3 linked regions of the Pelodiscus sinensis genome follow. Each later gene encodes a partner of the first gene's protein in a complex. Links are inferred from orthologs where the notes say so. Each region holds a gene or a part of one and is shown in the gene's direction. Other genes may lie near its edges.

Region 1 (7,139 bases):
ATACAGTTACCTACATGCTTCCAGCTCCCATCCAGCACACACCATACGATCCATCATCTATAGCCAAGCCCTTCGATACAACCGCATCTGCTCAAATTCCACAGACAGAGGCCAGAAACTTCAGGATCTCTACCAAGCATTTATAAACCTCAACTACCCACCTGGAGAAATAAAAAAGCAAATTGAAAGAGCCAAACGAATACCTAGAAACCATCTACTACAAGACAGACCCAAGAAAACCAACAATAGAACACCACTTGTCATCACCTACAGCTCCCAACTTATACCTGTCCAACACATTATCAATAGATTACAGCCTATACTGGAACAGGACACTAAACTCCAAGAAGCTCTGGGAGACAGACCCATAGTCTCCTATAGACAACCACCTAATCTCAAGATGATTCTTACCAACAACCACAGGACATACCACACTAATACCAACCCTGGTACTTTCCCTTGCAACAAAGGGAAAGTTTGTTTGTCCACATATTCACTCTGCTGACACCATTATTGGGCCTAACCAAGTGAGTTACAAGATCAAGAATACATATTCCTGCGCCTCCAGAAATATAATCTATGCTATCATGTGCCGAAAGTGTCCGTCTGCTATGTACATTGGACAAACGTCTCAGACACTTCGCCAAAGAATCAATGCCCACAAAACAGACATTAGACAGGATCACAAAGAAAAAACAGTTGCTTGTCATTTCAACCAGAAAGGACACAGTCTCAATGACCTGCTGACCTGCATCCTACTTCAGAAGACATTCAAATCTGCACTTGAAAGGGAATCCTCTGAACTGGCATTCATGCTAAAATTCGACACTCTCCGCACCGGACTTCACAAAGACCCCGGCTATCTTACACATTACAAAGACAGCTTCCCCAATTATCACCTCTAATTCTATTAACTCACAGACATTTCCCCTTCCCCACCTCTAATATCATTAACTCACTGGCATTCACCTTCCTTTCCCCCCCCCCCAAATCCCCCTTCTGTTCTGTAATGTGATTTGTCCTTTTCATGTGTGTTCATTTTTTTAAAATTGTATCCTTTGGTATATATGGTTGTGACTATTTTCTTCCACTATTTGATCTGAGGAAGTGGGTCTGGCCCACGAAAGCTCATCATCTAATAAACCATCTTGTTAGTCTTTAAAGTGCTACATAGTCCTGTATTTTGTTTCAGCTACAGCTAATTAGTTTGCATCCTCTTCCTGATTGGATGCTCCCTTTCAGTTCCTTTCTATACCATACTAGCACTGCTCCCTTTTTGGGGCAGGGTGTGGTAGGCTTCAGCAGGGGACCTCAGGGTCTGATACATCCAGTCACATTCAACATTCATGATTTTATAAACCTTTCTCATATCCCCTCTTAGTTGTCTCTTTTCTAAGCTGAACAGCTCTAAACCTTTTAGCCTCTTTTTATGTGGAAGCTGTTCCAAACCTTTGATCGTTTTTGTTGCCCTTCTCTAAATCTTTTCCAGTTCCACTATATTTTTTTCAGATAGAACCACCAGAAATGAACCCAATACGCAAGAAATAAATACACTATTGACTTATATAGTGGCATTATATTTTCTGTCTTATTTTCTATCCTTTTCCTCACAGTTCCTACCATGCTGTTAGCCTTTTTGATCACTGGAGCACACTGAGCTGTTTTCTCTTCAGTGACTCTTTTTTGCAAACCCTGATTCCAATTAAGAAAACTGAAAAGACTTAAAACATCAGAATAAGATGATAGCAAATAATTGTCTTTGCACAGAAAACTGTTGATAAACAAAAAGTTGGTCCAGTAAGTGTCCAAGATAACAGAATGGGACTGTATGCCCCAAAGCTGAAGGAGCAGTCTGAGTTTAGGACTAATGTGTTCTTTCTGGTAAAATCTCATTCACCCATAAAATAGAAAATATACTTCTATATTGTGATTCTTTCTAAAATGAACATTTCCTGCCCAATGAGCCTCTATATTTGTGTCAATTAATTGCATGTTTGATATTCAGTGGACTGTCACAATGCATTACAAATCTTAACAGTAATACTCAGTGGGATGCTAGACAACACTTGAAACTTGGATGTAGGCTAGGGTTGTGAAACCTTACAATACACCAAGCAGCAATGGATTTGTAAATCTCAATACTCAGTGTTTGTTTAATCAGATTAATAAGAAAAAAAAGTCTACTGACAGAGAAACAACCCAAACCAAATGAGGAAAAAAAATTACCTGTTAGCTGTTTGGTAGTCAGTTCAGGTCTTAAATTAACTTCAAGTTCCCATGAAAATCATACACATCTTGAGAAAATGAGTGTTGAATCTGAAGAGAGGAAAAACTCAGAGGTAGCATCTTGCTAACTTGTCTTTAAGACAAGTGACTTCTTTCCTGGTACCGACAATAAATGTCTATACATGAAAAATAGTTACTCCCAGCTCTGTAAAACCATCTTCTCCGTCTCCGTGGTTTTGGCTGTAAGCTCTTAGGGAGCAGAGACTGACTTTTATGTAAAATACAGTACAGAGCACACTGCTGGCATTAAATACTTTACTGAAGTTACAGTGTTGTCTTGTAAATGAATTCAGCTAGTAACAGGGTGCGTCTAAACTGGCAAGATTTTGCGCAAAATCTTGCTGCCTGTCTACACTGGCCACGAGTATTTGCGCAAGAACAATGACTTTGTACTGTACCAAATCAGTGGTTCTTGCACAAATACTTTGACGCTCCCGCTCAGGGATAAGCCCTTTTGCACAAGTATTCTTGCGCAAGAGGGCCAGTGTAGACAGGCAAGTTAATTTCTTGCGCAAGAAAGCCCGATGGCTAAAATGGCCATCAGAGCTTTCTTGCGCAAGAGAGCGTCTACACTGGCCCGGATGCTTTTGCGCAAACGCACCTGTGCCAGTGTAGACGCTCTCTTGCGCACATACTTTTAATGTAAAAACTTTTCTGTTAAAAGTATTTGCGCAAAATCCTGCCAGTCTAGAGGCAGCCACAGTGCGTAATGGCAATATTCCAGTTCCTAGGCAGAGACAATTCCCTCAAAACTCCACTCCCTGAGCCTCGCTTCTTGGGTAGAAAAGTGCAGCCCCAGACACTTCCGAAGAGCAGCGCTGCACCGAGCTTCAGCACAAAGACTCCACAGCGGCCCCGCCTCAGGGCAGCGCTGGGCGAGTCTCAGCTCTGCCTCTCGTGCTTACAAATCGCCCCGCCCGCGGAACAGCGCTGCCCCAGGGCCCTTCGGGGGGGGGGGGGATCGCTCCGCGCTCGAGCACTGGCCGGTAACCAGACCCGGGGCCCGCTTCAATCTCTGAGGGGCCGTTTCGGGGCCCGCGCTCAGTCTGTTGGGCGGGGCGGGGCGGGGCCAGGCGAGGTCTGGCTCGGGGCGGGGCCAGGCGAGGTCTGGCTCGGGGCGGGGGCGGGGCCAGGCGAGGTCTGGCTCGGGGCGGGGCCAGGCGAGGTCTGGCTCGGGGCGGGGGCGGGGCCAGGCGAGGTCTGGGTCGGGGCCGGGCGGGGGCGGGGCCAGGCGAGGTCTGGGTCGGGGCCGGGCGGGGCGGGGGCGGGGCCAGGCGAGGTCTGGCTCGGGGCGGGGCGGGGCCAGGCGAGGTCTGGCTCGGGGCGGGGGCGGGGCCAGGCGAGGTCTGGGTCGGGGCCGGGCGGGGCCAGGCGAGGTCTGGCTCGGGGCCGGGGCGGGGCCAGGCGAGGTCTGGGTCGGGGCCGGGCGGGGCGGGGGCGGGGCCAGGCGAGGTCTGGCTCGGGGCGGGGCGGGGCCAGGCGAGGTCTGGCTCGGGGCGGGGGCGGGGCCAGGCGAGGTCTGGCTCGGGGCCGGGCGGGGCGGGGGCGGGGCCAGGCGAGGTCTGGGTCGGGGCCGGGCGGGGCGGGGGCGGGGCCAGGCGAGGTCTGGCTCGGGGCCGGGGCGGAGCCAGGCGAGGTCTGGCTCGGGGCGGGGCGGGGCCAGGCGAGGTCTGGCTCGGGGCCGGGCGGGGGCGGGGCCGGGCGAGGTCTGGCTCGGGGCCGGGGCCAGGCGAGGTCTGGCTCGGGGCGGGGCGGGGCCAGGCGAGGTCTGGCTCGGGGCGGGGTCTGGCTCCGGGCGGGGCGGGGCGGGGCCGCGGGCCCTTTGCGAAGCGGGAACCGAGGCCGCTCCGAGCGAAAGAAAGAGACGGTCCTCGCGCGGCGCAGGGCAGGCGGGGCGCTGCCCCCGGGACGAGAGACCGGGCCCGGGCCGGGGGGCTGCAGAGCACGAGCTGGGCAGGCGACCGGCCCGAGAGCGCCCCCGCACGCCTGGGGCCTCGCTCCCGTCGGGCTGTGCGAGGAGCGGGACTACAGGTCCCAGGGGCCTTTGCGGGAGCAGCCGCTCCCGTCGGGCTGTGCGAGGAGCGGGACTACAGGTCCCAGGGGCCTTTGCGGGAGCCCGCTCCTAGCTGCAGGATGATTCACGAGCTGCTCCTGGCGCTGAGCGGGTACCCCGGGGCTGCCTTCACCTGGAGCAAGAGGAGCGGCCTGCAGGTACGGCTCCCCCCTTCTCCCTGCAGGGGCGGCCCCCCTCTCCCTCCTCTCCCCCTGCAGGGGCGGCCCCCCCTCTCCCTCCTCCTCCGCCCCCCCCCCCTGCAGGGGCGGCCCCCCCCTCTCCCCCCCTGCAGGGGCCCCCCCCCTCCCCCCCTGCAGGGGCGGCCCCCCCTCTCCCCCCCTGCAGGGGCCCCCCCCTCCCCCCCTGCAGGGGCGGCCCCCCCTCTCCCTCCTCCTCCGCCCCTCCCCCTGCAGGGGCGGCCCCCCCCCCTCCCCCCCTGCAGGGACGGCCCCCCCTCTCCCTCCTCCTCCGCCCTCCCCCCCTGCAGGGGCGGCCCCCCCTCTCCCCCCCTGCAGGGGCCCCCCCCCTCCCCCCCTGCAGGGGCGGCCCCCCCTCTCCCTCCTCCTCCGCCCCTCCCCCTGCAGGGGCGGCCCCCCCTCCCCCCTCCTCCCCCCCTGCAGGGGCGGCCCCCCCTCTCCCTCCTCCTCCGCCCCTCCCCCTGCAGGGGCGGCCCCCCCTCCCTCCTCCCTCCCCCCGCAGGTGCGGTCCCCCCCTCCCGCCGGCCCCGCGCTCACCCGGCCCCGCTCCCCGCAGGTGTCCCAGGAGCTACCGTTCCTGCACCCCAGCGAGAGCAGTGTTCTGAGCCGCCTCTGCCGCCTGGGCACCGACTACATCCGCTTCACCGAGTTCATCGAGCAGTACACGGGCCACGTGCAGCAGCAGGTGGGCCGGGGGGCTGCCGGCGGGGCCGGGCCAGCGCTACGCTTCGTGAGCGGCTCTTGCCCAGAGGCGCCCGGCGCAGGCCCCTTCAGCGATGCAGTGACAGCGGTTTGCGGGGGCGGTGCACAGCCCCATTCCACCGTGGCTGCAGCAAGATCTGGCGGGAGAAAGCAGGGCTGTGAGAGGTCCCTTGGGTCACTGTCAGCATGGTCCTCAGCCGGCTGGAGCAGCTCCCTGTCGGCTAGAGGTTGGGGGATGCGCCAGCCCCACAAGGGACCCACCACTCACAGAGGCTGCTCTTTGGGAAGAAAAAAAAAGTGCAGTTTTTTTTTGAAAAAGCGCACTCACATGAGTGCAAATGAACTGCAAAATTTGCAAATCCGCATTTCATTTGAATTTTTTATCTCCTTCATTTGCATTTCTCTTTCGAGAGAGGAATACAGTCTAAACGAACCCCAGGACTTTAAAAGTGTTCAAAAAGAGTTAGATTGATTCATGGAGGTTAGGTCTGTCAATGCTTATTAGCCGGGATGGGTGAGAATGGTGTCCCTAACCTCTGTTTGTCAGAGTCTAGGAATTGGCGACAGAGGAAGGATCACTTGATGATTTTGTTCTGTTTGTTCCCTCTGGGGCACCTGAAGGCCATTGTTGGCGGACAGGATTCTGAGCTAGATGGACCTTTGGTCTGTCTGACCCAGGCTGGTCATTCTTATGTTCTTAGGGATGTCTGTAAAATGGATTAAGATACATTTGTGAACAGTTCACTTCAGCACAATGGAACAGTGAAATTTACAAATGGCCACTGTATTATGCAGTCTTCTATCTCAAGAGTTCCTTATTTGTATATCCAAAGGGACTGAATACAATACTGCTCCATCTTTGACAGCTGACTCATGTCTGATTAACAGTTGATTTTAATGGTACCTTCAGTGAAGGCTAAAACTATAAGGCTACGTCTAGACTGGCATGATTTTCTGGAAATGCTTTTAACGGAAAAGTTTTCCGTTAAAAGCATTTTTGGAACAGAGCGTCTAGATTGGCATGGACGCTTTTCTGCAAAAGCACTTTTTGCAGAAAAGTGTCCATGCCAATCTAGACGCTCTTTTCCGCAAAAAAGCCCCTATCGCCGTTAATGGGTGATGCTTACTGGATAACAGTTAACTGTTACTCAGGAGCAGGCCCCATGGCTGCCCGCTCATATGAGCTGCCAGCCCCATGTAAGGCTGCTGATTCCCAGCCCAGCACAGGGTGCTCCAGCCCACCCGTGTTTACTCAGTTAAGTTTAACCGGTTAACATTTAACCAGTTAACTAATTTAAACAGGATTTTACATCCCTAGCTGAAGACTGAAATTAATAGAAGGTAAGTTCCTAAATATCTCAGGTATCTGGGCCACAGTCCCCAGTTCACTCACCAATGTCCTACGGCTAATGCAAAACTATTTGATTTTTTAGGACCATCATCCTTCCCAGCAGAATCTATGTGGATTACATGGGATTTATTTGCGGGCCTTCTGTACAGGGCTCGATTCAGTGCTGCAGCCCTATCGACAGGCGTTGCTTGACCTGGAGCAGGAGGTAAGGGAGAGAACTGGAAGAACTTGTTCAGTGTTATGAGCTGAAATACCATGCAGTGGAAGCTTGTCTCCAATAACAAATAAGCTAACAAGAAGCAGACGATGGGATGGAATCTTTGATTTCCACTGCGGATATTTTCTAAATTGCTGCTGTGAAGTTCCATTATAACCCACTGGTCAGTGTGTTACATGTCCATTCTTTGCTCCTTCACCCCCTCCCTCCACATGTCTGACCTACAGAGAGTGAAAATGTCTCAGTCCTCAGATCCTCGTCCCTCAGGCCAAGCTGTAGAGACTCATTGTATAGCTGTTAAGGCCCTTGGTTAAATCCATGGTGCATCAACCA
Region 2 (7,851 bases), on another chromosome or scaffold:
CACAGCATGGTAATCTCAGCTGAGCTGCAGCGGTCCCCCACCCGTGCCACGCCACAGGCAGGGGACTGCTCCAGCAGGGCTGCTCCAGTTACCCTGGAAAGCATGCTAGTAAGGCAATGATTACCGGCTAACCAGTTACCCCTTTACATCCACTATCCTCACAGAATTTCTCCCACACAAGGCAAGGTGTTTACCTGGCATTTCCATATTGATACACAGGTCTAAAGATGTATCATCATCATCATCATCATCAACTGAAAGTCCTTCTGAAAGGTGATTTGGTCCAATCACAAGCTATTGAGTTCTACAGATTTTGTTTCTGCAGGATGGAAAAGTCATCTCCTTACCCATTTCCCAGGTTTTTTCCCTGTCTCTACTATCATCCTAGGGAGATGTTAGCTCAAGTCAGACTTACACACTGTTGTCTATCCACTTATTCTTGTTTTTACAATAAGCAAAGCAGAAAGGAGGGCTAGTCCTACGGGCAGGAAATTGGGGTTCTACTCCTGGCTTTGTGTGTGACTATGGGAAAGTCTCTTCTTCTCCCTGAGCCACAGTTGCCCTATTAGCAAAACAAGAATAATACATTGTTACATCACTGGACATTATGAGCCATAAAGCACATGAAGTACTTAGAGATACTTGGATAGAAGGCATTAGAGACTGCAAAAAATGATACTGATTTCCTTTTGTCATGAATCAACATGTGTCCTGTACTCAGTCTATAAATAAAGGCTCTATTTGCCAACGTAGAAATGCCATAAAGTTACTTCAGCACCTCCATCATCCAAAAGTAGGCCATGTCCTAGTGATTCTTGTTTTTATAGCATCCTAAAGCTTTCAAAGTATTTTAGAGAATAAATAGAAGAGCACGATCACTGCCCCATAGAACTGACCGTCTAATTCTGCACGAGATGCTCCAAGAGAGAATGATGGTCATGACAGAAAGGACACAATGATTTAGTTAAGCTTGGGTACATGATGATGACTCAGTTAAGATTATTCAGTTAAGTGAGAAATGTTTCATCTCAAGAGCCGAGAAGGAAGAGAGGCCCCAATCCTGTAACACTTGTGCACGTCCTTAACTTTATGCACTGAGTTGTCCCACAGAATTCACTGTGTGAAGAAAAGTTAAACATGTGCTCGAGTCTTTGCAAAAATCAGGACATTAGATGGTATATTCTGTTGAACTGTATGGGCCTGCTCCTGTCTCAGTGAAATCACCGTCAAAATGCCTACTGACTTTAACAGGCACAGGATTGGCAGAAGACTGACTACCATCTAGAACATCTCTTTTTACCCCACCTATCAGCTGGGATGATTTATGTCTGTAAGAAATCATGCCTCTGAGCATATGCAGTGACACACCTCTGAATATGTGCAGAGAAACTGTCAGCCCTAATGTTCCATTAGGAGGTATTTGAAGTTATTTCTTTTAAGGGAAGAATTTGATCACATCCATGATTGCATCTGGATAAACAGACGCTGAAAAGGGTATCTCTGAGTGCAAAATCACTTTACTTTTTATTAAGATTTGTTGCAAAAGCAGTCATTCCCCATTGCCAAAGGTGTGCCACACATGCCAAGTTAGAACTTCTGAAACAAAACAGAGATGTCAAGGCACAGAAGAATAGTTCTCCTAGAAAGATATAAGCTTCTGAATACAAATATGCTGCTGTTACCAAAATGACACTACTTAGAAAAAAAGACATTTTGGAAAGCCAAACACAGTTTTGGAGGATTTTTTATACAAAGTTTTCACATGCTGGATACACAATGTAATCTTTGCAACTCACCATATTTTGTTTCTCTGCCATTATCTGGAATAGAGAGTCATGCCACTCCAGGATGTGAGTATCCAACAGATGCCCAGAGGGGAAAGAACGTTTGCAGAAAGAACACATGTTTCTGTGTAGTGTGTTGTAGTGATGTTCATAACCCTCTAAGGTATCAAACACTTGACAGCACCCAACAATATGACAACTGAATTCAGACACCCTAGAAAGAAGTGATGAAAATATGTGTATGTTTAGGTTATGTCAACACCACACAGAGCATATGGATCAATGCCTCTGCACAAATCGAAATAAAATCTTTACATTCTGGTAGTTTTCATTATTAAACTGGAGACAATAGCATTAACTTGTGAGGTAATTAGGAACTCGTATTTGTGGCTCAAACTCCTTTTACATAACTCTCAGCCTCTAGAATCAGTGGAATCAAAACTAAGCAGCAATAAAAGGTGATGAGCTGCTATATTTCAAAATCCCAGCAGATCCCTATGAAAGAGCTATCTTCATTTTCAATTAGTTCTCTAGGTAGCGTCAAGTTTTTTCTGGGATGATTACTGAACATTTTGAAACTAGGTGGAGATCTTGGCCAATGTGTTCATTTTGACCAGGTTATTCTCCCTAACTGAACAACTGCATATTTTCCCCTAAACTCAAATTCTTTTTTAACAGACTGAAGTAAAAAGCCATCATATAATTTGCTCAGATCTTCTGACTGAAACTTAAATGCTCAGGTACCTTCAGGAATGCAAATCCCATTTATACCCATATTTTCTGAAGGGATGATTTCTCCAGATCTGGCAAAGAGATAACCAACATTTCATTTTAAACCAGACGGTCCCTCAAAACCTGAATCTCTTTCAATAACTATCACATTATCCACTTATAAGGCACTTTATGATGTCTTCCTAATTATTCTATTTCTTCTCCATCTCCATGATTAAAGCAAAAAATAAAATAAAGGAGATTGCAGATATCTCTGTCCAGTTTCTCTATAATTTAGGTCTTATCTCAACTTTCAGGAGCTCACCACTGCAGCAACTGATCCACTGGGGGTCTATTTAGCAGATTTAGGGATGACCCAGTAAATCAGCCATAGATCTCTCACCTATTGACTCCAGTACTCCATAGGAATGAGAAGCATAAGGAAAGTCGATGCGAGAGTTGCCCCCATCAACTCAGCATGATGCTACTTTGAAAATTCCAGTACTGCAACAAGTTAGCCTAACCTTTGTCTCCATTATTCTTGTAGCTGGAATTGTGTAACTTAGTTTGATTTAACCCCGTAGCATAGACTTGATCTCAGACAGATCAGACTCAGCTCCAATGACTTATACTGATGCTTTTGGACAGGTGTAAAGAGCAATAGTCCTCTGAAGGAAACACGAGTGAAAGCTCACATGGAGATGCAACCAACCAACAAAACTGTACCATCCATCAAAACACCTCTTTTTGTCAAGAAACAACAAAAGGAAAACAGCTGAATTTGATCTGGTAGCAGAAATAATTCAAAGCACTCCACAGTTGTTATTCAATATTTGCTCAGTCTTAATACAATTTGAGCCAGATGTATACACCACCAACAGCATGGACCACAAACTGGTAGCTATGGGTAGAGTGTGTGTGTGTGTGTGTGTATATATTTTATAATATAAAAAAAAAAATCACATGCATTTTTGTTAACCGGACCCACAATAGAATTTAGAAGAACAGCACCACTTACTTGGATCTTTCGGTCACTTCTGTAACATTTGTTAGGATATCCTGGAGATACAAGTGTCTATGAATGTCTCCATCCTGAAAAAGAGTAGTGATTGTAGGCATGTTACAGCACCGCATGTTCAAAAAGTAAATGGGAAATTATCTTTATTGTCCAACAAGAAACTGTTAAAACAGAGTTAAGATACAGAATACATGTTACTACCAACTCGACTTTGTATCAAGAATGGCATGTTGATCTAACTTTGCTGAGCCCAGTTTATAGAGCATGAATAAAAGCGCAACTGGGTGTCCTTGACTATTGCTATCCATTGCTTATCATAAGCCCTTTGTTGCTAACTCCTGGGGACATAATTCTAGAGCAGGGCTACTCAACACATGGCCCGTGAACCATGGTGCAGTTTGGATTTACATGGGGCTCAACATGTGGCCTGCAGGCACGAGCCAAAACAAAAAAGTGCTCAATATAATGGTCTTCTGTTGATCTGAGTTTTAGTAGTTCAATTCCTGGACTGTCATTGCTCATTAAAAGTGCTGCTATATGGGTGGAAACCAGGTAAATATTGCATTTTATTCATAGCAACGAAACTGACTTAAATGGGGCCTGCGTGTTGTGTTGTCTTGCCTTAATCTCTGTACTCATGCCCGCCAGTGTGAAAGCAGCTATTTGCATAGATTTGCATGATAAGCAACCACACTTTAGCTGCGGCCCGGGGCACGTGAGTATCACTGTGGCCCCCGGGCTTGCAAAGTTGAGTAGCCCTGGCCCAGGGACTCTCAGCCTCGCTGGGGGCCGGCGAGACCACGGCGCCTCAGGAGACTCGGCGCCAGCGGAAGGGGGCTGTAGCTTTGGGGCAGGGCCCCCCCGAGGGGCTGCGGCCACGGGGCACACGCCCGCTCCGGCTGCCCGGGAGGCCGCGCGAGGGCAGCCGGGTCCCTCACCTCGAAGAACTCGTGCTGGCGATGGAAGCGGAGGCGGCGGGCCGAGAAGCAGAAGGGGGCCCGCGGCGGCGAGCGGGGCCGGACGGGCAGCAGGGGCCGCTCCGCCTGCAGCGAGAGGCTGAGCCCGGGCGGCAGCAGCATCCTGCCCAAGCGCCGGGCGCGCTCAGCGGGACGCCATCTTTCCGGGGGATCAGATCACTTCCGGGTCAGCTGGCACTTCCGGGTCCCCTCGGAGCGCTTCGGGTCTAGTAGCGGCGATGCGGGGGCTCTCCTGTGAGACGGGCAGCGAAAAGGGGGCGGTGCCTTAGCAGGGCAGGTCCCCACGCGGGTTTCTGATTGGTTCCAGGGAGGCTGCCGTCTCTGCGGCAGCCAATCGGAGTCTGCGCGCTTCTTCCTCCACCCCCCCCCCCACTCCCGCGCGCCGCTTGCGAGGCCCCGGCTAACGGTTAACGGCTGCGGCGTGATTCCCTCCGTAGCCCCGCCCCCCGATCCTCCCGCGCTGGGCGCGCGCTGCCACTGAGGGGGCCCGCTCCGCGCGCGCCGCCCCGTCCCCCCAGACCCGGCGGGAGCTGCCCCGGCACAAGGTACCCGCTTCCCGACCGGGCGGGGCCCTCTCCCTCGCCGGGGCTGCGGACCCGCTGTCGCCCCGCAGGCCCGTCCTCACGAACTGCGGGGCGAGGGGCTGGAACAGGTCAGGGAGGCGGAGCAGGGCCCCCGGGATCGATGGGGCGGGGGCCAGCGCCAGGCACACACAGCGGTGCCCCATGGGGCTGTGTCTGCCTGCGCCTAGGGGGGCGGGGAGTGGGGGAGCCGGCTCTGGGGTGGCCTTTGAGTGATGAATGCAGGGTCTCCTGCGCGGCGAGCGATGCCCCTGCAGCGTGTCAATAAGCCCCCCCCCCGGGAGTGACCCCGCGTACGCACCGGTGAGGGGGAGAGCTTCTCCTGCCCACCTCGGGCTGCTTAAGCGCTGCCATGGAGCGGTACCCATGTGTAAACTAGGGATCGGCGTGGCCAAACGGTAAGCAACACCTTACCGGTCACCGTTCACTAGCCGCGGGGCCGGAGCACTCGCCTCACTGGTGGGTTTTGCATCCTTAGTCTAAACAAGCCCCGAGTCCCAATTACAAAAAACGATTTCGGCACTGACGAGTCTAAATGACATTGACTTTTAGTGAGGTTTACGCTGCGACGTGCCAAAGTCGCTTTTGAAAATGAGACTTGGACTCTGAGGCCACTTCGGCAACTTTGAATTTTTTTACCCTTGTTGATTAACTTTGAGTTTCGTCGGTTGTGCTTTGCATTCAATGTACTGTGAAATCTGTAACCCTAGGTGGAAGCATGAGTGAATTCCGCATTCACCACGATGTCAACGAGCTGTTAAGCCTGCTGCGTGTTCATGGAGGGGAAGGAGCTGAAGTGTACATAGATCTCCTGCAAAAGAACCGAACTCCTTATGTTACCACGACTGTGTCTGCACACAGTGCTAAGGTGAGCTAGTTTCAGTTTACTCGCTGCCAAGCTGCCGTGATGGTTGAAATTCACTTTTTTCTTAATTAGTATGTGATAATCTTCTGGAATTATTTACAAATTCTTTGACTCTAGTGATACCAACATCAAGGTTAAAGAGAGAAACTAAGAGAAAAGGGACCACTTGAGTTTTTGGAAGGACAAAGAACATCCTTACTTCTGCCCTACACCTAAACTCACCATGCCTACTCCTCAGGAGTTCCCGAACAGGACTCTGAGTTATCCTTCCTTATGTCCCTAATAAGTGCTGAGATGTTAGGTTTGCTGTCTAAGTAACTCAGAGCCACTCATCTACATTTCTGAAGGGGTAGAGTGGAGAGGACGCATCAGGACTGACAGCTTGATACTTGCTTGAGAGACCAAGAGACTGGCAGCATGACTAGAATCATAGACCCATAGAGCTGGAAGGGACCTCAGAAAGTCATCAAGTCCAGCCCCCTGCTCTAGGCAAGACCAATCCCAACTAAATCAACCCAGCCAGGGCTTTGTCATACCGGGTCTTCTGGTCTCCCAAGGCACAGAGTTGAGGTCCTGAAAAGAAATGCAGACATTGAACTAGTAATATAAAATCCTATTTAATTAGTTGACCAATTAAATGTTAAATTTAACCGATTAACTGATTAAACAGAGGCGGGCTGTGAGTGGGCAGCCTTGCACAAAGGGGAGTGGATAGGGCAGTGGAGGGGAGGGCTGCTGGATCCCCGCCTTCGTGGGCTCATCACACTGTGGATGGGGCTAGGTGGTTGGAATTCACCTACAAATTTGACATAACCTGGCTTTGAATAAAGACTTAATGTGGTCAACACATTACAAAGCCAATTTCCTCTGCCTTTAACATTCACATTTTCACATCAAACACTATGAATGGGACACATCCAGCTCACTTAATTAGCTTCATTAACACAGGTCCTACAATTGACAGATTTTTTTTTTGTTATTGTGTACATCTTGGATTCTCTTATTTCCACTCCAACTCATCTGATGAAGTGGGTCTTACCCTCAAAAGCTCATGATACAGTGTATTTTTGTTATTCTCTAAGGTGCTACAGGATTACTCGTTGTTTCTTTAGTTATATGATCATAGACTGGTTTTTGCACAGCATCTTTATGGCTCTTTGCATATGCAAAAGTAGCCCCATTTTACAAACACCATAACAGATCTGATGTTTTCTTTGTTCTTCTAAGTAGTGCATTTGAAACTTTCTCCTAAAATGCTAACATTTATGTTTAAATACTTGTATTATTTATGATGTTTTACAGGTTAAAATAGCAGAATTTTCTCGAACTCCAGAAGATTTTTTAAAGAAGTATGATGAGCTGAAATCTAAAAATACAAGGAATCTGGATCCGTTAGTGTATTTGCTGTCAAAACTCACAGAAGACAAAGAGGTAGCATGTTTGTTTCTGCATTTGTCAGTCTGATGCATATTGGGAAGTAACAACAATGATTATAGTGCATCCTTTTAAGAAGCTGTTCAGACAAACCTATCTGAACCAACTAGTTATGATTACAGTGGAGTATGTGATAGGGATATTAACAAACGTTTATTTGTGTAAATGTGTAACCACTGAAATTTTTAGCGATGACATGTTTACACACATGAGGGACTGGTGCTCGCAGGGAGCCAGCTTAAAAGATACAGAGGCAGCAAAGGGGGGATGTATGTAACCATTAGGAATAACCAATAAGCAAGCTAACATCCCGAGTATGTGAGAGCATTCATTCTAGCCCTCTGTTTTCAGTTACTCATGAATTTTTCCAGCAAGTTTTGTACCTAAACAGGAATTTTAATTTTGACTTAGAGAAAAATCAAGCCATTTTGAATTATGTAATGGTAAGCGCATTTTTTTAACCATTCGTATTAAGGGTTTT
Region 3 (7,288 bases), on another chromosome or scaffold:
CGGTTGACTCATTTAGCTTGATGTCCACTGTAGCCTTCAGATTCATTTCTGTAGTAGTCAGTTCTAGGCAGTCATTTCTGATTTTCTAGATGTGCAATTAATTGTTCCCTCTTCAGTGGTACTTTCCAGTAGTCCTTATTGAATTTCATCCTATTTACTTCATTTCTCTAGTTTGCCCAAATCATTTTGAATATTAATCTTATCTCCCAAGCAATTTCAGCCTCTCCCAGCTTGATATCATCCACAAACTTTATAACTGTATTCTCCATGCTATTATTTATCTTAAATTATGAAGCTATTGAACAGAACAGGATTCCTTTCAATATGCCATTCCAGTTTGTCTATGTACTACTCTTTGGGAATGGTTTTGCACCCACCTTATGTAAGATAGTATCAAAAGCCTTACTAAAGTCAAGATCTGCCACATCTACTACTTCTCTCCTATGCGCATGGCTTGTTACCCTGTCCAAAAAGCTATTAGGTTGGTTTTATATGATTTGTTCTTGACAAATCCATGTTCATTATTACTTCTCACATTATTATTTTCTAGGTGTTTGCAAATTGATTGTTTTATTATTTGCTCCATTATTTTTCTAGGTACTAAAATTAAGATAACTAGTTGGCACCATATTAGCCCTCTTCCAGTCCTCTGGAATCTTCCTGTCTTCCATGAGTTTTTGAAGATAATTGCTAATGGCTTAGATACCTCCTCAGTCAGTTCCTTGAATATTCTAGGACAGTGAGTGGTTCTCACATTAGTGGTCCACAGCAGCCTTCCAGGTCGTCTGCAGCTCAAACTAAGCCTCCCCTACCCTCAGCAGGGAGCTCACGCTGGTGCTCCAGCCTTGCCTTTCCTCCCCCACGCAGTTGGGGCACCCGCATCATCTTCCTGCTTGGGGGTGCGGGGTGTAGAGAAAGCCCTGAGCCTTACGATGTGATCTGGCTCAGAGGGAAGAAGTGCTTCCCCTTTCCATCTCTCAGCTGGGAGAACAGCAGCATGCGGGTGTGCTGCCTGGAGGCTTTTGCTGCTGCTCCCATTGGCCAGAATCCGGCCAATGGAACAGTGGGGGGAGGTGCCTGGGATTGGCGTGGGGTGCGAAGGCAAGTAAGTGTCCCCCATAACCTCATGCCCAGACCCCCACAGTCCTAGCTCCCTCGCACCCCACCCCACCAAGACTCTGCGCCCTCTCCCCTGGCCAGACACCCTACACCCTGCCAGACACCCTTCCCCCCAAGTCACTCCTGCATCCACCCTTGCTCCTTCACCCTTCCCCTTGGTTGACACCCTACCCCCAGCCTGCTTCTGCACCCTTCCTCCTAGTTAGACACCTAATCTAGCCCACTCCTGCACCTGCCCTTGCTTCTGCACCTTCCCTTCCTCTTGCCACCTCCCTCTGGCCAGACACCCTACTCCCAGCCAGACTTCACCCCCTCACCTCCTTCTGCACCCCACCTCCTGCCCAGATCCTGCACCCCTATCCATCTCTTTGGCAGCTCTGGCCCACTCACTGAAGCCCTCATTTTTGTCCTAACCCCAGAGCTTGGGGGGGGGGGGTCCACAAAGTTCACTAATCCTGGAACTCCAAAAGAATAAATCTGGCCTATGGAAAGCCCTGAACCTCGTAGAATCATAGGTTTGGAAGAGACCTCAGGAGGTCATCAAGTCTAACCCTCTGCCCAAAGCAGGACCAACTCCAAATAAATCATCCCAGCCAGGGCTTTGTCAAGCCAGGAATTAAAAACTTCTTAGGATAGAAATTCCGCTACCTCCCAAGGTAACCCATTCCAGTGCTTTACTACCCTCCTAGTAAAATAGTTTTTTCTAATATCCAATCTAGACCTCCCCCACTGCAACTTGAGACCATTGCTCCTCATTCTGTCATCTGTCACTACTGAGAACAGCCTCTCTCCATCCTCTTTGGAACCCCCCTTCAGGTAGTTAAAGGCTGCTATCAAATCCCCCCTCACTCTTCTCTTTTACAGACTAAATAAGCTCAAATCCCTCAGTCTTTCACTGTAAGTCATATGTTCCAGCCCCCTAATCATTTTCATTGACCTCTGCTGGACTTTCTCCAGTGCATCCATGTACTTTCTGTAACGGGGGCCAAGAATTGGATGCAGTACTCCAGATGTGGCCTCACCAGTGCTGAATAAAGGGGAATAATCATTTCTCTCGGTCTGCTGGCAATGCTCTTCCTAATACATCCTAATATGCCATTAGCCTTCTTGGCTACAAGGGCATACTTTTTTAAAGATGGACACTACATTTGCCTTTTTCCAAACATCCAGGATCTCTCTTTATCTGCATGAGTTTTCAAAGATAATGGCCAAAGGCTCTGCAATGACATTTGCCAATTCCCTCAGTACCTTCAGATACATTAAATCCAGACCCATGGATTTGTGTATGTCTAGCTTTTCTAAATAGTTCTTAATGTGTTCTTTCTCCAGTGAGGGCTGCCTACCTCTTTCCCAAACTGTGTTGCCTAGTGCAGTAGTCTGGGAGCTGACCTTGTCCGTAAAGACAAAGGCAAAAAAAAAAAAAAAAGCATTGAGTACTTCAGCTTTTCCCACATCTGTCACCAGGGACATGTCTAGATTACGTTTTAATTTAGAAAGAGGATATGCAAATCCCCTAACCCTTAAAAAAGGAGGTTTATGCGGTTTTTCAAAAGTGTTTTTTTTAAAGACCCCATGTGCCATGGAATTTGCATATCATCTTTCAAAATTAAAATGAAGTCTATACATGCCCTACGTTACCTCCCTCATTCGGTATGGGTCCCACTCCTTTCTGAACCACCCTCTTATTGCTAATATGTTTGTAGAAAACTTTCTTGTTACCCTTCACATCCCTTGCTAGCTGCAATTCCAGTTGCACTTTGACCTTCATGATTACATCCCTGCATGTTTGAGCAATATATTTACACTCTTCCCTAGTCATCTGCCCAAGTTTCTACTTCATGTAACCTTCCTTTTTGTATTTAAGCTCACCAAGGATTTCACTGCTAAGCCAAGCTGGTCACCTATCATATTTGCTTTTCTTACTGCGCATTGGGATGGTTTATTCCAGTGCTTTCAATAAGGTTTCTTTAAAATACTGCCAGCTCTCCTGGATTCCTTTTCCCTTCATGTTAGCAACATTAAATATGGGGGGGGGGGGGGAGGTTCTATATGTATCCTTACCATGCATGCCCCCTGCTTAGGGCAGGTGGAGAATTCACAGCTCCCCATGGCTGCCCATGGCAGGCTGGGCTGAACTGGAACACCCCCAGCAGCTCCCCACTCACATTGGGCAAGGGGATGCGCCAGCCTGGCCAGCCCAGCTGTTAACTGGTCACATCCCTAGTCTCTGTCTTTTCTACTCAACATCAATATTAAGAAGCGATACCATGTAAACCCTAGCTAGGATGGAGTCCAAACTCCAGAGATTATGGAAGCTGTCATAAGAGGTTGCAAAACTCCATCAGATCCCACATCTAGACCTGAGTGAGTTGATGATAGGCAAGCAGTGTAGACATAGTATCATGGTTTCTTTTGGGCCACAACCTTGTTTGCATTAAAGACAGTTGAAATTTTCTGGTGGAAGATTTTGGTCAGAAAATTCTGATTCCACAAAATAGAAATGTTTCACAGTAGGTGAACTGATAACGAGTGCGTCTGTGTGACTGGAGATTATCGACATGTTTTTTGATGTTTGTTAGAGTAAAATTTATAATTTCAGCTAATGCATTGTGTAATATAACCATTGTACCTCTGAGCTGCAGGGAGCTCTTTGGGTACAGGCCACTTGGAGAAGTTTGAGGTTTTAATTTTTCATCCCAATTTACGGATGGAAACAGAACTCTTGGGAATTTGCAATCTCCTGTGGGCTGGGCAGTCTGTATTTTGGTCAGCTCTCTTTTGCGTCACGACACAATTTGGTGACATCATAGCACGGTGACGTAATTGTGTGATGGAACAGTGACCTCATAGAGCAGGTGTGGTTGTACCGTCCGAAATTTAGCCTGGGTGTCACCACGTGGGAGGAGGATGCGAGTCTGGGGTCCTGTAGCGTCCCCCTCCTCAACTGTCATCGGCACAGAAGGGATGCAGGGGTGCGGGGGGAGCTGGATACTCCTGATTTCTATGCCAGTCCCAGCCGCCTCCTGCAATGGTAACGGGCTCTGCGTGTGGGCGCAGGGTCAGGCTCTGGAGGTTCGAGGGTCAGTTTGTGCCCCGGAACCTTTGCGCTGTGGCTGTGTGAGGAGGGCGGGAGGTGTTCGGCGCTGCGCGCTCCGGGTCGCCCCGCGCACAGGGGCATTGTGGGCGCTTGTTGCCGCCGCTGTTTTCCGCGGGTTCTGTTAAAATGGCGCCGGGAGGCAGCGGCCGTTAGGCGCAGCGCGCGCGGCAGTGGCAGAGGGAGGTTCCCCGCCGCGGGGGTGAGGATGGCGTGTCCGGATCAGAAATCCCCCAACGTTCTGCTGCAGAACCTGTGCTGCCGCATCCTCGGCAAGAACGAAGGTAACAGCCGCCCCCCCCCCCCCCGCAGCGCGCGGCACGGCGCGAGCCCAACGTGCAGCCGCCCGGCGCGGGGTCCCGCGGCTGCACCCAGGGCCCGGCGGTGGCTGCTGCTGCTGCCGGAGTGGCGGGGCCCTGCGCACCCCGAGGCGCGCAGGCTGGCGCGGGCCCTGCCCCGAAGCGGGGTGCGGCTCCTGGCCCGGGGGAGGGGGCAGCCAGGCGAGGGAGAGGAGAGACACCCCTGCCCCATGGGAGCGAGTGAAACTCCTCGGCCCGCTGCTGGGGCAGTGGGGAAAGGGCCCCGCGTCAGCGCCGCTTCCTCTGCTGCCTCCAAGCAGCTGCGGGCAGGGCAGGGCAGAGCCGTTAGCAGCAGCGAAGCACTTCGGGCTCCTCTGCGCTTATCGCACTGGAGCGGTGCCGCCTTGGCACTCGGGCTCTCCTAGCCGGGGTAGCTGCCTTGCCCCCTGAGGCCAAGCCTGCGCTACCCACCGCGCTGGCCATGGGGGAGTGCTCCCATCCCCATACTTATTCCACCTCCACGAGACGTGGAAGCTGCGCGGTGGGGAGTGTCTGCTGCTGACATAAGGGCCATACACAGTGGGACTAGGTCGATGTCATTTATGTCGCTGAGGAAGTCTTTCAGTGGATGTGATATACCTTGACTTTAGCAAAGCTTTTGATACGGTCTCCCACAATATTCTTGCCAGCAAGTTAAGGGCATATGGATTGGATAAATAGACTGTAAGATGGTTAGAAAGCTGGCTAGACTGTTGGGCCCAACGGGTAGTGATCAGCGGTTCCATGTCAGGTTGGCTGCCAGTTTCTAGTGGAGTGCCCCAAGGATCGGTTCTTGGACCGGTTTTGTTCAACATCTTTATTAATGACCTGGATGAGAGGATGGAGTGCACCCTCAGCAAGTTTTCAGATGACACGAAGCTAGGGGGGGAGAGGAAGATACATTGGATGGTAGGGTAGGGATAGGGTCCAGAGTGACCTAGACAAATTGGAGAATTGGGTTTGTTTAGTCTACAGAAGAGAAGAGTGAGGGGGAATTTAATAGCAGCCTTCCAAAGAGGATGGAGAGAGGCTGTTCTCACTAGTGACTGATGGCAGAACAAGGAGCAATGGTCTCAAGTTACAGTGGGGAAGGTCTAGGTTGGATATTAGGAAAAACTATTTCATTAGGAGGGTGGTGAAGCACTGGAATGGGTTACCTGGGGAGGTGGTGGAATCTCCATCCCTAGAGGTTTTTAAGTCTTGGCTTGACAAAGCCCTGGCTGGGTTGATTTAGTTGGGATTGGTCCTGCCTTTGGCAAGGGGCTGGATTTGATGACCACCCGAGGTCTCTTCAAGCTCTATGATTCTGTGATCCCTGGGCGATGTAACTTGCACTGACTTGAGTCATAGTAACAACCAGGACTCTTGTGGCATCTTGAAGACTGAATGGGCTCCTTGTTGCTTAAGCTATACTGTAGATCAGCTAGAGAAGTGTTGTTATATCAATAGGAGAAGGTATCCTATTGACATTAGGAATGATAAAAAGCATGTAATTCATTAATCATATAGTCGACAAAAATGTTTTTGTCTACATGATTAATCGATAAGGGTTAGCATTGCAAGCACTCAGTCTCGGTTTGAGCCATGTACTGGCAACTACCCCTGTTGTGGCTCTGCCCTAGAAGCAGTTTAAGAGCTGGTACACAGGCAATCTGGCCCAGTCCCCGCTTGAGCTGGGTCTCAGCATCAACCCCCCTCTGCGGTTCTAAATTATTATGGGGCTAAGCCAGCCTGCCTGTGTGTCAGCTCTTAAACTGCTTCTAGTGCAGAGCTGCAGCAGGGATAGATGCTGGGACCCGGCACGAGCTGGGATGGCGCAATTGTGTATAGCTGATAGTGTTAACTGATTTAACTGACTATACCGTGGGTTCCCAAACTGGGGGGCATATCAGCAAGTTTTGTTGCTGTTTTTGTTTTTTGGATCCCGTCAGTTCCTTTTTTTTTTTTTTTGCTCAACAAGTTTTACTGGGGGTGGGGGGACATGAGGCTTTCTCAAAAATCAAAAAGGGGGGCATGATGCTGAAAAGTTTGGGAACCACTGGACTATACTATTACATCCCTAGTTGACATAGCACTATCTAGAGCTGGGGTTAGATTAGTATGACTGCATGATGTACTTACAGTGACATGTGTAGCATAGACAAGGATTTGGTTTCATTCTGCTGCTCAGGGCCTGGTGACAGTCACAAAAAGCTGTGGACTGCTGTGTGCACGGCTCTTGCCCTAGGGGTTATCTTGCAAGTGTGTCTCACTTACCTGTTCAGTGATAGTGTTTGCCCTCTTCTCCTGCTTTGTTACCCCCTCCTGTAACTCAACTCTGTCCTGTTGGTAGTCTGTGCTGAGCATGGCAACAGCCAGCTCTGGGCTGGAGCAATGGGCTACCTGCTTGCTGGCTAGACATTGAGCTGGGAGGCTGTGCTCAGTGGAGTTAGGTGCTTCCTTGGACCTTAGGTGTTAAATTTTGAAGTCCTCTGAGTCTTGCTGATTGTTAGGCTACATCTGTCTCCCTTGTTGGTATAACTTATGTCGCCTCCTATGAAAAAGAATACCACTGGTGTGGACAGCTCTCCTGCTGCCATAGCTACTGCTGCTTGTTGGGTTTCATTAAGTCAGTTGGAGAGCCCCTGTTGTCATAGAGTGTGTACACAAGAGATTTTACAGTAGTGCAACTGTGTTGGTATGACTATGCTGTAGGGATGTAATAGTGTAGTTGATTAATTGATAAGCAAAAGTTTAT

Evidence for each region.
Region 2: TUBGCP4 (region 1) and TUBGCP2 share a complex: the UniProt entries of both Homo sapiens proteins name them as parts of the gamma-tubulin ring complex. The link is inferred for Pelodiscus sinensis from reciprocal best matches to the Homo sapiens genes TUBGCP4 and TUBGCP2.
Region 3: the proteins of TUBGCP4 (region 1) and TUBGCP3 are in contact, whole or in part, in a cryo-EM structure (PDB 7QJ0), measured with the Homo sapiens proteins. The link is inferred for Pelodiscus sinensis from reciprocal best matches to the Homo sapiens genes TUBGCP4 and TUBGCP3. Residues at the interface, in NP_001273343.1 of Homo sapiens: His35, Pro36, Ser37, Glu38, Ser40, Val41, Arg44, His116, Leu117, Ser118, Ser120, His121, Tyr124, Phe125, Asp127, Gln128, Leu131, Pro134, Lys159, His160, Cys162, Gly163, Gly164, Leu165, Pro166, Arg169, Leu630, Ser631; in NP_006313.1 of Homo sapiens: Arg252, Asp253, Tyr256, Gln259, Ile261, Asp262, Lys264, Arg305, Ser312, Leu313, Arg315, Leu319, Gln322, Ser323, Cys325, Ala326, His329, Arg333, Tyr336, Arg337, Ser340, His343, Ser344, His424, Pro425, Tyr593, His595.

The regions. Positions count from the first base shown.
Region 1 is NW_027465934.1:451,968-459,106, reverse strand, and holds the start of TUBGCP4 (gamma-tubulin complex component 4), read left to right. Parts: upstream 1-4,046; 5' UTR 4,047-4,419; coding exon 4,420-4,497; intron 4,498-5,092; coding exon 5,093-5,221; intron 5,222-6,671; coding exon 6,672-6,794; intron 6,795-7,139. Other genes in the region: uncharacterized protein LOC142825186, read left to right, coding at 1-505. UniProt on the Homo sapiens protein: Component of the gamma-tubulin ring complex (gTuRC) which mediates microtubule nucleation.
Region 2 is NC_134718.1:6,882,655-6,890,505, forward strand, and holds the start of TUBGCP2 (gamma-tubulin complex component 2), read left to right. Parts: upstream 1-4,837; 5' UTR 4,838-5,035; intron 5,036-5,366; exon of another isoform or gene 5,367-5,469; intron 5,470-5,781; 5' UTR 5,782-5,789; coding exon 5,790-5,939; intron 5,940-7,238; coding exon 7,239-7,367; intron 7,368-7,851. Other genes in the region: ZNF511 (zinc finger protein 511), read right to left, coding at 1,797-1,998, 3,514-3,587, 4,452-4,592. UniProt on the Homo sapiens protein: Component of the gamma-tubulin ring complex (gTuRC) which mediates microtubule nucleation.
Region 3 is NC_134711.1:238,155,722-238,163,009, forward strand, and holds the start of TUBGCP3 (gamma-tubulin complex component 3), read left to right. Parts: upstream 1-4,236; 5' UTR 4,237-4,421; coding exon 4,422-4,497; intron 4,498-7,288. UniProt on the Homo sapiens protein: Component of the gamma-tubulin ring complex (gTuRC) which mediates microtubule nucleation.